Saccharomyces cerevisiae S288C: one gene and its partners. Changing the gene in region 1 together with any one later gene gives a genetic interaction. Each region holds a gene or a part of one and is shown in the gene's direction. Other genes may lie near its edges.

Region 1 (5,015 bases):
ATTTTTGACTTAGTCAATACATAATAAAAATTACTAAGAAAAGGGAGGGAGTATTTAAAACGTCTGCAAAAACATTACTTTTTCCCAAAAATCCATCCAACTTATATACATTTTTTATCATCCACGCCTTTTTATTTAAAGTGCCTTTCTCTGCAACTGCTCATATGACGATATGAGATGGCAAGTTCAAGTTTGTTACACCGCTTATTGATGTGCACACAGGTACGGAACACGCTAAAATTATAACGGCGTGCTCGAGAGAAAAACCCAACAGGGTTGGTCTGGGCATCTCCAGCAAGCCACGGTTTTAAATTGACAGTGCTTCACACTGCGGTGTTGTCTGGGGCGCCTCTGTATTTGCGGCAACGCGCCTGGTTACGGGCTTGTCTCAGGCTCGTGTGCACCGCACTGTAAACACAGGGAGGATGACTGGGTCAGGTCCCCACGGTTTATTTATAGTAAACAACAATGCGCGTATGTGTGCGTATTAATGCTATAAAAAGAAACGCGCAGTATCAAGCCATCAGATTTTTTTAATAATGGTAAATACGTATGCTGGCATCGTTCCGAAGTCGCGTCTCGGCTGCAAGGTAGGGAAACTTACTGAAAAAGGCAAAGCTCGCATGATCTGGATTTTTTGTTTTGTTTTAAGGGCGTATGCCCTTTGTTAATGAAAAGTAAATATTGATTCTTTAAAAATAAACGCAAGCCCAGTATTTATTTATATACCACAGAAGCAGGCTCCCTACATTACGTACTATTATCTTGAACTATATTACAGTACCATTCTTACCCCACATCTTAGTATACGGAGGAGATTCCTCTTTTTCTCCAATAGTCACTCACCGCATGCCATTCTCCCCTGACATTGCGTATAGCATTAACTACGCTCTTGGGAAATACTTCTTTCATCGTATATCCCATTTCCTTGAGAGTGCTTAGTACGGCTTTACCGATCATGGGGAAGCTTTCCAGTTCTATGCGGTCGGGCAGTAACTGGTGGTGTATACGTGGATAGGCTATCGTTTCCAATATAGGCATGTTATACCAGTACGTCCTCACAATTGTTTGTAAAACACTCGTAGTGATTCTTGAGCCGCCGGAAGCGCCGACCACGAGGTCTGGGATGCCTAATTCTGACAGCACAATAGTGGGTGCAGTGGATGATAGGGGTCTTTTCCCGGGCTCGGGAAAGTTGTATATGGAGGGTGCCAATTCAAAACTATTAGATTTGTTGAATTGAGCGAAATCGTCCATTTCATTATTGAAGATCACCCCGGTTTTTGGGTCGTGTACTAAGGAACCGAACAACAAGTTGATGGTGGTTGTCAAGGAAACAGCATTCCCATGTGAATCTACTATACTGAAGTGGGCAGTTCCATGCGGGTTATTGATATCGTATGCCGGATCATAAAGCGTCCAGTTTTCTAAAGTTTTAAAATTTCCGTCTTGAGAGTTTCTTTTGATTGATTTCACTGCTTTCAAAGCCCATTCTGGATCCAATACCTCTTCTATATGCTTAGGTAATGCTTCGCCTTCAAAATCGCCTAACCTGCTTCTTGCGCTTGCCATCCATTTCATGCTTTCAAGCAAATGATAGGTAGTTTCTTTTTCATAATCGCCCCCTTCTTGATTCTGGAAATTATCCATTATCCTTAACGCCGCAAGTAGTGCAGCCCCGGAACTTGAGCCGCTACTTGTTAATACGGTCATATCGTTATCAGGGATGAAATTGGCGCCCTTCCTAATTTTCATGGACAGTGGTTTAGTAACATGAACATCATACGATGAAACATCCTGCAAGTTCATTATTCCATTGTATTTTGCGACAGTATCAATCATGGATTTTGCAATCCAGTGATCGGGGTCATAAAATGGGGCCACGGAACCATTTTTAGCCAGTTCCATTAGCATGTTAGATAGTGCCGGCCTCTTGATCCAATCGCCTTCTTTCAAAACACCGTCATGGGTAGAATTCAATACAAACGACCAATCTTCCTTCAATGTCAGGAAAACATCCTCATAAAGTTCTAAAGTGGCACCGAGTGCTTCGCCTATTTGCCAACCCACGCTTCCCAGCTTTGCGACTGGTTCAATTAGATCACGCCAATCAACTTGGCCGCTACCTCTTTCTTTAAAGAGGCGATAGAGACCCATCAATTCACCTGGAACACCGACAGCAAGACCCCCTATTTTTGAGCATAGAGAGCAGTTTTCGAACATGAACTTATGTGAATCCATGGGTGCTTTTTCTCTAAAATCAATGGATAGATGATCTTCATCGTCTTTGCCAGAAAAAACTACGTAGCCACCACCTCCAATCCCACTATTAAAAAAATTCACCATACCCTTACAAAGAGCTTGTGTTACTGCAGCGTCTGCAGCGTTAGAACCGGGAAATTTCAGGAGTACCTCATTTATAGTCAAATTACTACAGACTTCTAAATCTGAACTTATAGCACCATGCAAACCGACTTTTAGAAGTTGCCTATCAGGCGTTAAACTAGGACGGCGAGGTAAAGGGTCAATATCGATGTTATGGTGATCCTTATCGCCGCCATCATCATCGTCGTCTTTTTTCAAATATTCTGCAATAATGTCAACATCTCGATTGGCAGACCCTCGAAGGAGATTATTTATTCTCTGCAAAGTCTCCTGAGAGGCGAATGATACCATTTTTGACGGCATTCCGGACACTAACACACCCAGTGTTAACAGAGTGAATATATGCAGTATAAAACAGGTATTTAAAGTCTTGGGGACTTTTCTATTACACAACAGCATAACTGTAAGTCTAGTACGCTACTTTTTGTCTTGTCTTTTTGTGTGCCTGACAACGCCCCACTTGAATCTGCGTTAGCTTTTTATTCTATTATTTAAGATAACTGTGCAACAGGAAGTCACGATCGAACTTTACGGAAGAATTATAATATTGAGAAGTGCTAGTACACACAGGCGCACACACACATATATATATGTATCTATATACGTGTATGTAGATTTGGAAGTCGAATAGATAAATGCCGTTATGTTCCCTCAGAGAAAATTGATAAGCGGGCAAAAGGCGGCACTAAGACGTTCGAAGGGGCGGATCTTTTCTTTTGATCAACAACAGGCACAGCCGCTGAGTAATATAGTTATGATTTTTCTAATCTCATGTAGGTAATAAAATCTTAAAAGTTATTTTTATTTTCACTCTTTTATATGTGAATAGAGACACTTGTATAGAGATAATAAACGGTTCAAACTCTTTTCACTTTCATATGTTCCACACAGTACCTTATCATTGAACACTAGATTTCCGCAAGTGTCAAGGTACATAGGCGGGTAAGCGTTAAGGATAACAGAAAATATTCTTGCTATACTGAAGATATAATATGAGCTCCTAGTGTAGGCGATGAAGGTGCTCAAGTAACGGAGAGGAAAGAGATAGGCAATGACGAGATACTATTGTGAATACTGTCATTCGTATTTGACCCATGACACGTTGAGCGTTCGTAAATCGCACTTGGTCGGTAAGAATCACCTTCGTATAACAGCTGACTATTATAGGAACAAAGCAAGAGACATTATTAATAAACATAATCATAAAAGACGCCACATTGGAAAAAGAGGCAGGAAAGAAAGAGAAAACAGTAGTCAAAATGAGACGCTAAAAGTTACATGCCTTTCAAATAAGGAGAAAAGACACATCATGCATGTGAAGAAAATGAACCAAAAAGAACTGGCACAAACCTCAATAGATACCTTGAAATTGTTATACGATGGCTCACCAGGATATTCCAAAGTATTTGTGGATGCTAACAGGTTTGATATAGGAGATTTGGTTAAAGCCAGCAAATTACCCCAAAGAGCCAATGAAAAATCTGCACACCATTCCTTCAAGCAAACTTCAAGATCCAGAGATGAGACGTGCGAGAGCAATCCATTTCCTAGGTTGAATAACCCAAAGAAGCTAGAACCCCCAAAGATATTATCACAATGGAGTAACACCATTCCAAAAACTTCTATATTTTACAGTGTAGATATACTGCAAACCACGATCAAGGAGTCCAAGAAGCGGATGCATTCCGACGGCATACGGAAACCGTCGAGTGCCAACGGATATAAAAGGAGGCGGTATGGAAATTAACGCTATCAGATTAGATTATTAAATATTATATGTAGACTATATTTTGCCAAAAAAAACAATAGAGATATCAACAACGAATGAAAATGGTATGATGAGAATAAAAAAAAAGGAAATAAAAAAAGGAAAATTAAAAAATTGAGATTAGTTGAATTGAAAAAGGAAAAAAAATGTTTGGTATGCGATAATTAATTGAATGTGCACGATCGTTACTATCATGAGAATTAAAATTTAAAATGTCCAACTTTCGGGCGTGAAGAGCGGTGCCATCTATTATATCTATTTTTATTTCATGCTTTTTCAGCAAGTGCTTGCTTTTCTTCATCGTTGGACTGTAGTTTCTTATCATTACTGCTGCCTGAACGGAGAGATATGAATATCATGCCAATCAACCCAAGTAGTAAAACTCCAACCACTACAATAATAAAAGATATTATGAAAACAGCGAGTATGTTTTCCAGTGGTTCATTATCGAGGTTAAAATTTGAGAGATCCGGGGTCCCAGAAACGAGTGTGTGCACATCTCCGCTTGCTTTCTCATCCGAATTTAAAATCTTTGTCAATAATTTAAAGATCTCATCCCCTATGCTATTCTTGACGCTATGATGATCACCACACATGGATTTGGAGCTTAGTAAGGCAATGTTCGATTGCTCATCGACAAAATCACCTTCGACCATTTTCTGTTTTTATATTTTTATCGTACGTAGTCTATAATGCAAAAAGAATAATTTGTTACTTGTGAGAGAGAAAGCGTACGTGTGCGATTGTGAGAATATGTAGATTATTACCACGATAGAGCAAAGAAGAAGGCTCTCCAAAAAGAATTAGTTATCTCACACTACCAACCGAAAGACTTCCTTAATATATATAAATTTAACACGGT
Region 2 (5,419 bases), on another chromosome or scaffold:
CTCATGCAAACGCGAACGTTCTGAAGGAGAAAGCCTTTTGATCTCAACATCCTCAGAAGTAAAAGCCAAACGGCTGCCTTTGTTCTTAATTTGCTTGGAGTTACCTATGTCATTTTCGCTCTGACAAATGCAGTTAACCTCTTGAATAGAGAATAATCTATCACTGGACAAGTCGAAAGTAATGTTATACGCAACTCCTGACGAGCACTTATCAGAGGAATATGAATTCTTTATAGCTCCTGAATTAACTGTGATAGTTTCGAACAATTTACCATTCTCAAATAAGTCAATGGTAAAATTATTAGGAATCGAATCAGTCGTGTTTGTCAAAATAGATGTTTTGTTTGGATAAGCACTTCCGCGCGTGAACACATCATACAGTTCAGATTCGTTTGATAATTTGAATGAATAAGTATTTACAGAACGGTCAACAACATTTAACGGCTTGGTCTTAAACGAATTAGATAACTTGATCCCTCTCATAACAACACCATTCACAGCTGATTCATCAGCATTGACATTTCTCAACACTTTTTCTTCGGATACGAGTTTGATTAATTGATCCTGCACAATGGGAATTCGGGAAGAGCCTCCCGCCAAAATGACCCCATTTATCTCAGGTAAATTTGTTCCATAGCCACCGAATTGTTTTGTAACAGCGTCATTTATGGGTTTGACAATGTCCAATAACGAGTCTGCAATAAATTCTTCGAATTCCTGTCTAGTTATAGAAGTACGGAAATCAATATCGTTGATCAGTGATTCTATGTTAATACTTGCCTCAGAATTGGCGCTTAAAATTAACTTTGCCTTCTCTGCTGCTTGGTTGATTTTTGCTAAGGCCTTGGGATTAGCGTGCAATTCATCAGTTCTTATGGCTGGGTGTGTTTCCAAAAACTTATTCTCTATCAAACTGCCAATATCCATTGTAAACTTTGCACCACCTAGATGTGGATTATACCCATATCCTTCAAATTCTATTGTAACGGGCTGAGTAGTGTCCTCCGGCTGCAATATAGAGAACATTGAGGCCTTAATAGAACCGCTCCCCATGTCATATACGATATAATGCTGCTGTTCACCTGGTGGAAATTGGCGCTGCTTTAATACAAAGTTAACTGCAACAGACATCCCTTCACTAACCAGATATGTCTCTTCGATTCCTGTGGTTATTGAACTGGCATCTAAAAGTGCTTTCCTTTGATGTTGGTCAAAAAAGTCAGGAATTGTAAAACTCATCTTGTTTACAAAGTCCTCAGTTCTTGCATCTCTATCCTTCAACAGTGAATTGGCTCTATTGGCAATCTCTTGGACATTCATTGCCACTAACTCTTCCAATGGATATTCCACATTATCAACTAAAAAGGCTATGGTACTTCTATTTGTTGATACCATTTCTAAACCGGGGTGTTGTTTTGAATACAAAGTTACAGTGGTTTCATCTTCTAGTGATTTCCCAAGTAGCGGTTTCAAATGCAACAATGTGTTTTGGGGAAACCTTGTTGCTAAACTGCCAACAGCGGAACCGTAGATTCTTTCAATCCCATTCGGATCATCCTTTCCATAACCTGGTAATCTTTTTATCGAAAGACCAGATATCTCCTTCCGTTTTGCCTCTGGTGTGAGCACAAGTTCTAATGGGGCTTGCGGAGAAACCACAATGGCCTTGATATTTTGCTGACCGTAATCAACACCTAAAACGGCTGCTAAAGACCCTATAGCAACAAAAGCTGTTAAAAATAAAAGCCTTAAAACGTTTCGCATGGTAATATGCGTACTTATTTGCACTAATAATGCCAGAATACTGCAGGAGCGATACTGTTAATATTACGCTGTAGAATGGATCACTTTTATAACAGCGTGTTCGATATTATATATTTGAGGCGCGCGCCTAATTAGCAAGTGCTGAAAAAATTCGAGATGAGAAATTAAACTGTACATGCTAATATAAAAGAAGTAGAAAAGGAAAGTTAATTGACACAGAAAACAAGCACACGGAGATGGCTGATGAAAAGAGACTGGAGGATTTGAGATCCAAAATAATGGAGTCTATAGGAAAATCAGAAAAGGATGTTGTGCCGATTGAGAACAAAAGATTCAACACGGATAATGCAGTTATAGATACACATTTTAAGAGGCAAAAAAGTGACGGTGAGCTTCCGAAAGCGCCAAAAAGTAGAAACGTTTCACATTCTAATAACAGAGGACCATCGTCAATAATTACTATGAGCACGAATCGAACGACTTATGAACAAACAAGGGCAGGTCCTCATCGTCAAAGTTATCGGGATGCATCGGGAAGATCATATAACAGGGAGAATCGGTATAGTAGTCACAATACTGGGCCCCAATGGAACAACAATCCCTATAATAGGCAACGGGATGAAAGAAGAGGAAGAAATGAAAGGTTCGATAGAAGGGGAAGAAATGGAAACGGAAACTACGATCGTTTCAATTACCAAAGGAAGAACGAAGGTTCTAAATTCAATGGCGACCGTGATAAAAGGCAGTTGCAAACTAATAAATATGACATGAACTATAATTCCCAAAATGTAATGTACCCGGGTTCATCATTCGATTCTCCGGCTTACTACAACATGGCCTCATCCAAGGCAAATTCAAGGCTTGTAATTTCGGGCTTGTCTCAAAGCAGCGACCCCAGCATTGTAGCAAGATTGAAAGATTTGCTGGAAAATTTTATTTCAGGTCTCCAGAAAACTGAGAGTAATGCGGAGGACTTTAAAATTTCCAACTTTTATATTGGTGAAGGAAGGCCGGACCATATTATTGTTGAGTTTAGTTCTCAGATCTGTAGCACTATGGTTTTGGCCTGTCGATCATTCTTTAATGCGAAGCTTGGTACTTTCGACTTAAAATGGAGAAGACCTAATGATTATGTTCAACAACTTGATCATCTGGTCGATTTTTGCAGGGGTACGGTAATTGCATTGGAAAATTTGGAAAATATAGGCGAGGGTGAAGATTATAGAATGAAAGAGCTTTTTTCGTCATTGAATGTAACAAACGGTACCGCTAAGCCACTTTTTTACAAATGTTCGTCCAATACAAACAACACTGGCAAAGAATCCGAATTCACTAAATGTATTCTATTATCGTTTGAAGTCGTCACTCAGGATATTCTTGATAAATTAAAACCATACAAATGGTTCAAGCCAAATGATGGAAAGATATCACAAGTTACTTCATGGATTACGTTTCAAAGCCTGCCAAATCTGGTTACCCAATCTGTTCGTGTTGAATCGAGAGTTTTGTTGCTCTTAAATTGTCTTGATCCATTGGATTTGAAAGATGAAACCTTTATCACAGAAATTAAAGAAACATTAAAGTATAGTATCGCGGGAGCAGATACGATTAAAATATGCCAACCCGGCGTCGATTACAGACTTAATTTTGAAAACTTGGCTTCCGGAGCCGGTAATATTTATATCAAGTTCAAGACCTTGGAGGCAGCAAAACACGCAATGGAAGAATTGCCGGGTACGCAATTCAACGATCGCACTGTTCTGTGTACTTATATAGATGAGGACGACTTTGACATGATGGAAGCAACCCAACTTTCCTAAATGGTCTATTTTGTAGAGCGAAATTAAGTAAAGAATTGAGTATTCATTATGTAGATCTAATCTTTAACGCAGTGAAAAAAGTCCTCGTTTTTGGTGACTTTTTTTGTACAATTACTTTTTTGAAATATAACGAAAGTTAGCAGATTGACTACTAACTTGCGATCTGGAAAATTAAGAGAATTCAAACTTTTTTTGTTGCATGGGTCAATAATCATCATTAGAGCTTGCCTTGATCAATTTCCTTCACATTTTTGGAATAACTAACATTATAAATCAAGCCTAGTATAGCGCGCCAAAGAAGATGGCTAAAGATTTATTGCCCAAGCAAGCGGCCAACGAGCCATCGTTAAAGGACTGTACCTGTAAAAGATGTCTTAAATTGGGTGCTTCAAAAGAAAAAAAGATTAGAAGAAAGAAGAAAGGTGAGGAGAAAAGAGAAAGACATTATGGAAATAGACGAAAGTTAACATTCAACTTTTTGAAGCATACGAACATGGAAAATACAAATTACGACGTAATCACTTCGGTTGGATATCTGAATGAAAAATACGGATTGAAAAAATCACATTACATTGAAAAATTTATCAAATGCATCCATAGAAAAATAAATATCGATGTTAGCAAAATTACGGACGCCTATGTAAACTCGCTAAACCCGTGGGTTAAAGTAAAACTCTTCCTTTTATTGGTGACATTGTCTGAAAAGGGTGGTCCGGAATACTGGCTAGATAAGACAGATGGTGAAAAGAACTCAGAGGCGTCTTCAACAGATAATAGTTTGGAAAATTCTACTAAAGGAGCAGATAGCGCTGGATCTACTGCTTTGAGAGATGAAATGGTCAAAAGCCATAAAAACCTTTTCCCAACTCTTACAGAGCAAATCATACAGCATAACATCAACCAAGATTTTACGGAATCGACTTACGACGAGGATTATGTATTTTCGTCAATTTGGGCAAACTTCATGGAAGGACTGATCAATCACTATTTGGAAAAAGTCATTGTACCTTACTCGGAAATGAAAGTCTGTCAGCAATTATACAAGCCTATGATGAAAATTATCTCCCTCTATAACGAATACAATGAGCTTATGGTCAAAAGCGAAAAGAACGGATTCTTGCCTTCTCTACAAGACTCCGAAAATGTCCAAGGTGATAAAGGCGAAAAAGAGAGCAAGGATGATGCCGTTAGCCAAGAAAGACTGGAAAGAGCGCAAAAGCTGTTATGGCAAGCTCGAGAAGATATTCCAAAAACAATTAGCAAAGAATTAACGTTGTTATCAGAAATGTATTCTACATTATCTGCTGATGAGCAAGATTACGAATTAGATGAATTTGTTTGTTGCGCAGAGGAGTACATTGAATTGGAATACCTACCTGCCCTTGTAGATGTCTTGTTTGCTAATTGTGGCACGAACAACTTCTGGAAAATTATGTTGGTGTTGGAACCCTTTTTCTACTACATTGAAGACGTCGGCGGAGATGATGATGAAGATGAAGATAATGTGGACAATAGCGAGGGCGACGAAGAAAGCTTACTTAGCAGGAATGTGGAAGGAGATGATAATGTGGTTGAGCGTCATTTTAAGCCTGATCCAAGGGTCATTACACTGGAAAAAATATGTGAAGTTGCTGCAAGACAGAAATGGATATAAGGAGAAATCAAAGGAAAAGAAGCAAGATCCAGCGTTTTCTTTTGAACCCTGGAGGATGCTGATGCATTCTCTATTTATTTGGTATCAAATTGTCGTACAGATGATTTATATATGTTAATATTGTTCAGTTTACACTAATTTTAATTTACCGTATTTACTATCCAAAGGAGAAAAAAAGAAG
Region 3 (5,135 bases), on another chromosome or scaffold:
TCTTCTTCATCTTCTTCATCATCATTTTCTTCTTCTTCTTCTTCATCATCTTCATCATCTTCATCTTCTTCTTCTTCCTCGTCGGCCCTTACTGTAACGCCATCAAATATTTGGGAGGAGCTACCATCAGCCTCATATTCAGTTAATAGAGAATCGACAAGATCTTCGTAGATAGTTGAGTTTGTTTCTGCTGATTTATTCATATAAACAACATTGCTCTTATAATTTTGTATACGAGCAATTTGTACCCTGAGCATAATTCTTTGAGCAATTACGGTGCTTAAATAATGTTTCATCAAATTGTAACTCTCTTCATTTGAAGTTTCCTCATTATTTGCATCCACATTTTGAATTTCATTGTTGCATTCAACTCTGTCCTTATTATCTACTTCCGTTGTCTCCATTGCATCCGCATAATTAGAGTAGCTTTCAGATGATTCTCTGTCATAATCAGATGAGCAAACGCTATTAACGGGAGATAATTCTCTCATAGAACTAGTATCAATTACATATTCGTCTTCCTCTTTAATAGAATATCGATTCATGGATAACGGAATAACTTTATTTTCTACCACAATTGATGGCTGTCTTGCAATTGCATTTAGGGCCGTCGATGGTTTTGACCTTACCAATCTTGACCTCGAGTACATGCTGCTGTTGCGAGTGACGGCATGACTAACATTATCCGGTACAGAAATGAAGGAGTTTTTATTATTTGCCGGTGTCATAGTGGCAGATGCGGTTAGGATGGATGCAGCCCTTCTAATAGAGGAATTTGTTCTTCTCAATGATGGAGTATAGCTTACCAAAGGGCTCCTTGGGGTGTTTGATCCAACTTTGGAATCTTCAGATTGGGGATGGTTTGCTTTAAATTTCGTATCAACTGTCAAAGGTTTAGTCTTTTTTTGTGGAGCCAATACAGGTACTAAAGATTTTGATGAGATCGACCGTTGTAAATTAGAGACGTATCTCTGCGATTTTTTTTGACGCGGAGTAGAGTTGCTGTTTTTGTTGACTAGGTTCGTCCCTCTTTTTTTTGACTTGTTGTTAATGTTTGCTTTAGATTTAGTGGTTTTGGAATTCGTGGCGGAGGGGACCTTTTGAACATTATATGAAAACAGTCTTCTTCTTAAAACTAGCCGTAATTTCCGTAACTTTTTCTTTATCTTGATTCCCAATGAGGTGAAATAATATAAGAGTCCGCCCTTACATCTAATAGCTTTTGATCGTTTTAGAGAACAACGACTGCTACTTGATTTACTGCTGACACTTGAACTATACCTGGAATTGGAAAACCTCGAGGATTCAACTCGTCTTATGGTCGGAACTCTGTTTAGCTTTTTTTTAGGTTTCGGTACTACGCTATTGTTTAATTCGATAGTTTTTATATCCTTTTCCATATTTAATTTGGTCATCGGTTTGGCTTCTTGGGTCGACGGCAGAATGGCGCTTTTAGATGTCGATTTCCTTGGTAATAACGATGATGCTGATGACGGCGCGATATCGTAGGAAACATTATCTGCTGTTGGGATAGTCTGGAATGCCGTTGAGATTGAGCCAGTTATGTTTCCCTCTGGAATAGCTTCCATTGAATGTAACTGGTTTTTAACTACATTTGAGCTGCTATAATGAAGAGAGTCATTTCCTGGGAAGTCATGAGAAGCAAAAAAGTCACTTTTGTTCGAGTCTGAGGAAGTTAATCTAGCGGTTTCATTTTGATTGATTACAATACGTGGTGAAGACGTAGTATTGTCAGAAATGTTAGCAAATGAATAGTATCCATTTGATGAATAACCGGAATTTGTATTTGTATTGGAAGTGGATGTATAGTCTGATAATGTTTGAGAGTTTCCGTCTTCATCGCGAGAAACTCCATTTTCTGCTGCAAACACATCATTTAAAAGATGATGATTATTCAAATGGTACTCTTCTAGCGTTCCTCTTGGTAAACTTTCGTTAGACGGGAATTTAAAATCCATTTGATCGCCTCTAAACGACTTGGTTTTTGTCCTTATTGGAGCTCTGATGATCATTCCGTATGATATATTTGTTGTGATAATAAGCCAAATTTATTTGAGCACTATTGTTAAGTTAATTGTTCTTGTTTTACTTGTTAAGCCGTTAAGTTGTCAACCGAATTATCAAGCACTTAAATCTATATATACAACATATTTGTACAAGAATTGATGACCTGCTGAAAGCCCAGCAATCTGGTTATCCCAGTTGAACATGTTTAAGGATAGGCATATCGACTTCTTTATCTTACTAACCGAAATATTGAATTGCCTGTGTAATGAATGGCTGGAGCAGCCTTTTTTTTATCTTCGCCAGCCATCGCTTTTTTTGAATATTTTCCACATGAAAACAATGTATGAAAAATTCTAAGGCATCGCACCAAACTATATGAAGGGGAAGTGAGTTATTCCGCAAACAGCGAGTAAGTTTTTCGTTGTATTGATTGCCCATATTATATACCGTGTTGTGGGGGCAACAGACAGAAGTAGAAGAAAAAATTTTTGTTGATTTAACTGAAGTGATGGGAAGGACATTTATTCATGCTTCGAAAATAAAACATGCGGCACGCAAAAGAAAACATCATTCCAACTTTAGAACTCTGATCAAATTATTGAACAATGATGCCTATAAGATAGAATCATCAAAACCGTTGAAAAATGGTAAACTTTTCAAATACTGGAAAAATAGGCGTAGATTGTTTTCAAAGATAGATTCGGCGTCGATATATATGACTGATGAGCTGTGGTTCAGTGTGACGCCCGAAAGAATTGCCTGCTTCCTGGCAAATTTTGTTAAGGCATGCATGCCAAATGCCGAAAGAATACTGGATGTTTTCTGTGGTGGGGGCGGGAACACCATACAATTTGCCATGCAATTTCCTTACGTCTATGGAGTGGACTACAGTATTGAACACATATATTGTACTGCGAAAAACGCCCAAAGCTACGGTGTGGACGACAGAATATGGCTGAAGCGGGGATCCTGGAAAAAGCTAGTCTCTAAGCAGAAACTTTCCAAAATAAAGTACGACTGTGTATTTGGATCACCCCCGTGGGGTGGTCCAGAATACTTAAGAAACGATGTGTATGACTTAGAGCAACATCTAAAGCCTATGGGGATTACCAAGATGTTGAAAAGTTTTCTTAAACTAAGCCCTAATGTGATTATGTTTTTGCCAAGGAACTCTGATTTGAACCAGCTTTCTCGAGCTACGAGGAAAGTACTAGGTCCATTTGCCAAATGTAAAGTATTATATGTAAAGGAGAATGGATATATGAAAGGAATATTTTGCATGTGGGGGGAATGCTTTTTTAACTACGAACCAGCAAGTACGGAGAATAGTCGAAGGGAGTCGTCCGAAAAGGAAGAGCTGAGTTCTGAAAACGAAGAGCTCTCGAAAAGAAAAAAGCATGAATCCACAACAACGACCAAAGATAATACTGTAGACATTTACGACGTAAATGGTTAAACACTTGTTCAAGTTGAATCGTATGATAGAAAATGCAATGACTATGTTATGAATGTATATATAGCACATAAAGAGGATCGCTTACGTGAATTTGGGAATAATTAAAACGTTCTTTTAGCTGCGGCTGCTCGTCGATAGGAGTGATAACAAATTAAGAATTAGAAGGGATGTCTTTTTTTTCTACCAGCAAGTTGCCACGCGCTTCAGACTTTAGAAGAGGTAGTAGCAATCCCTTCGAATGAGGTTCGATTATATCTCTCACCATTCCACGATTTATCACGGAAATACCATTCAAAAATAAATAAGGCGACTGAATGGATTCCAAGGCAGCACTAGTATCGATATTTAGTTTATTTTGTTTGATATACTTTTCTAATTCATAGCCATGAGAGTGTTTTTCCAAATCAACAGTGGCCAATTCGGGTGAAATCTCAAATTCTCTTTGTAATAGATTTTTTAAGAAAATGGAGTCTGCTTGTGATGATTTAATGAATAATACCGCTGGAGAGGTTCTTATTATATCTAGAAAATCTGTTCTAGGGTCGAATTTTTTGTGATCGCAGTTTTTCTGCAAGGCCAGAGAAGATGACCGTGGATTTAGTGTTGTTGTGGTCGTCGCCGTCACGACATTATCAGTTTGGAACGATCTTGAAGAAAATTTTGATGTAGCTTTGGATGAGGGTTCTGGGATGTCGACTTCAACCTCGCTTTGAATATTTGAAATTTCTTCTTTGACTTTTTGGAAATTTAGTTCATTTTCATTACTTAGAAAACTGTCTGCTGTCTTTAATAAGTTTGGCAACTTGTAAACGAACTTCTTTTCACTTTCTTCCTCACTATTTTTTTTGTTTTCGCTAGGGTCAGCAGAGTTGTAGAATTCCAAGGAGTCATTCCATGTAAGTAGTAAGAAGCTAAATACGCCAAGCAAAACGAGTGTTAGCGATATTATTCTCGTACTTCTCTTGATTGCTGTGTGCTTTTTCAAAACTGATGAATCCGCTATCATCTTTAACTGTTATTTTCCTTTTTTTAATTGCTCTTTACTGTTCTTGGAACAAGAGATTATGAAGTCTATAAAAGAACATATATATAAGTATTTAAGAGATAAGCCTGATTCAAAGACGTTTGCAAGTTTCAGTCACTTGGCCTTAACAATCTTTATATATTAATCCCTTTAGTACCTGCACAATTAAGGCCGAGACAGACTCGAAACAACCCCAAAACTTCTTGATCTTTATTAGCTGATGCCAAATTTTTTGGTACCACACTGAAACGAACTTCGTAAATCCATTATTTGTGTATTTTCTTAACGAGAAGTGCCTAAAAACTGCCTTTTATGCGCTGTCTTCTGAGAATAGATCCCGTTCAAGGCAAGCGCCGGGCAAGCGGAGGCGCAGTCTACAGAACAATCCGCACAAGGAAAAAAGCACCCGAGATCTGGGACCCTCACCTAATCATTTATCGTTATCCACGACAGGGTGCGGTGATTGCTGTGTATTAATGAGTGGTTTCAAAGCCCTATCCCGCAGTCGTTTGGCACTCTGCAGGGCCTCAATCATTTTATCCTTCCTCTCGAGCATCTTCTGTAATTCGATCACTTCAGTGCCGTCACACCCAGTTAGCGACATTGCAGTATGACCACTTTTTTCTA

The links.
Region 2: mutations in YHC1 (region 1) and MUD2 together harm fitness more than expected from each alone (negative genetic interaction), as found in Saccharomyces cerevisiae (5 studies listed by BioGRID, with this or other methods).
Region 3: mutations in YHC1 (region 1) and TGS1 together harm fitness more than expected from each alone (negative genetic interaction), as found in Saccharomyces cerevisiae (5 studies listed by BioGRID, with this or other methods).

What each region holds. Positions count from the first base shown.
Region 1 is NC_001144.5:723,838-728,852, reverse strand, and holds YHC1 (Yhc1p), read left to right. Parts: upstream 1-3,436; coding exon 3,437-4,132; downstream 4,133-5,015. Other genes in the region: ECM38 (gamma-glutamyltransferase), read right to left, coding at 802-2,784; YLR297W (uncharacterized protein), read right to left, coding at 4,420-4,809. UniProt on the Saccharomyces cerevisiae protein: Component of the spliceosomal U1 snRNP, which is essential for recognition of the pre-mRNA 5' splice-site and the subsequent assembly of the spliceosome.
Region 2 is NC_001143.9:292,775-298,193, reverse strand, and holds MUD2 (Mud2p), read left to right. Parts: upstream 1-2,000; coding exon 2,001-3,584; downstream 3,585-5,419. Other genes in the region: Hsp70 family chaperone LHS1, read right to left, coding at 1-1,764; AAN1 (Aan1p), read left to right, coding at 3,886-5,238. UniProt on the Saccharomyces cerevisiae protein: Splicing factor that contacts pre-mRNA directly and is a component of the pre-mRNA-U1 snRNP complex (commitment complex 2) that forms during early spliceosome assembly in yeast extracts.
Region 3 is NC_001148.4:252,278-257,412, forward strand, and holds TGS1 (RNA methyltransferase), read left to right. Parts: upstream 1-2,536; coding exon 2,537-3,484; downstream 3,485-5,135. Other genes in the region: AIM44 (Aim44p), read right to left, coding at 1-2,033; pheromone-regulated protein PRM4, read right to left, coding at 3,636-4,490; KIP2 (Kip2p), read right to left, coding at 4,939-5,135. UniProt on the Saccharomyces cerevisiae protein: Catalyzes the two serial methylation steps for the conversion of the 7-monomethylguanosine (m(7)G) caps of snRNAs and snoRNAs to a 2,2,7-trimethylguanosine (m(2,2,7)G) cap structure.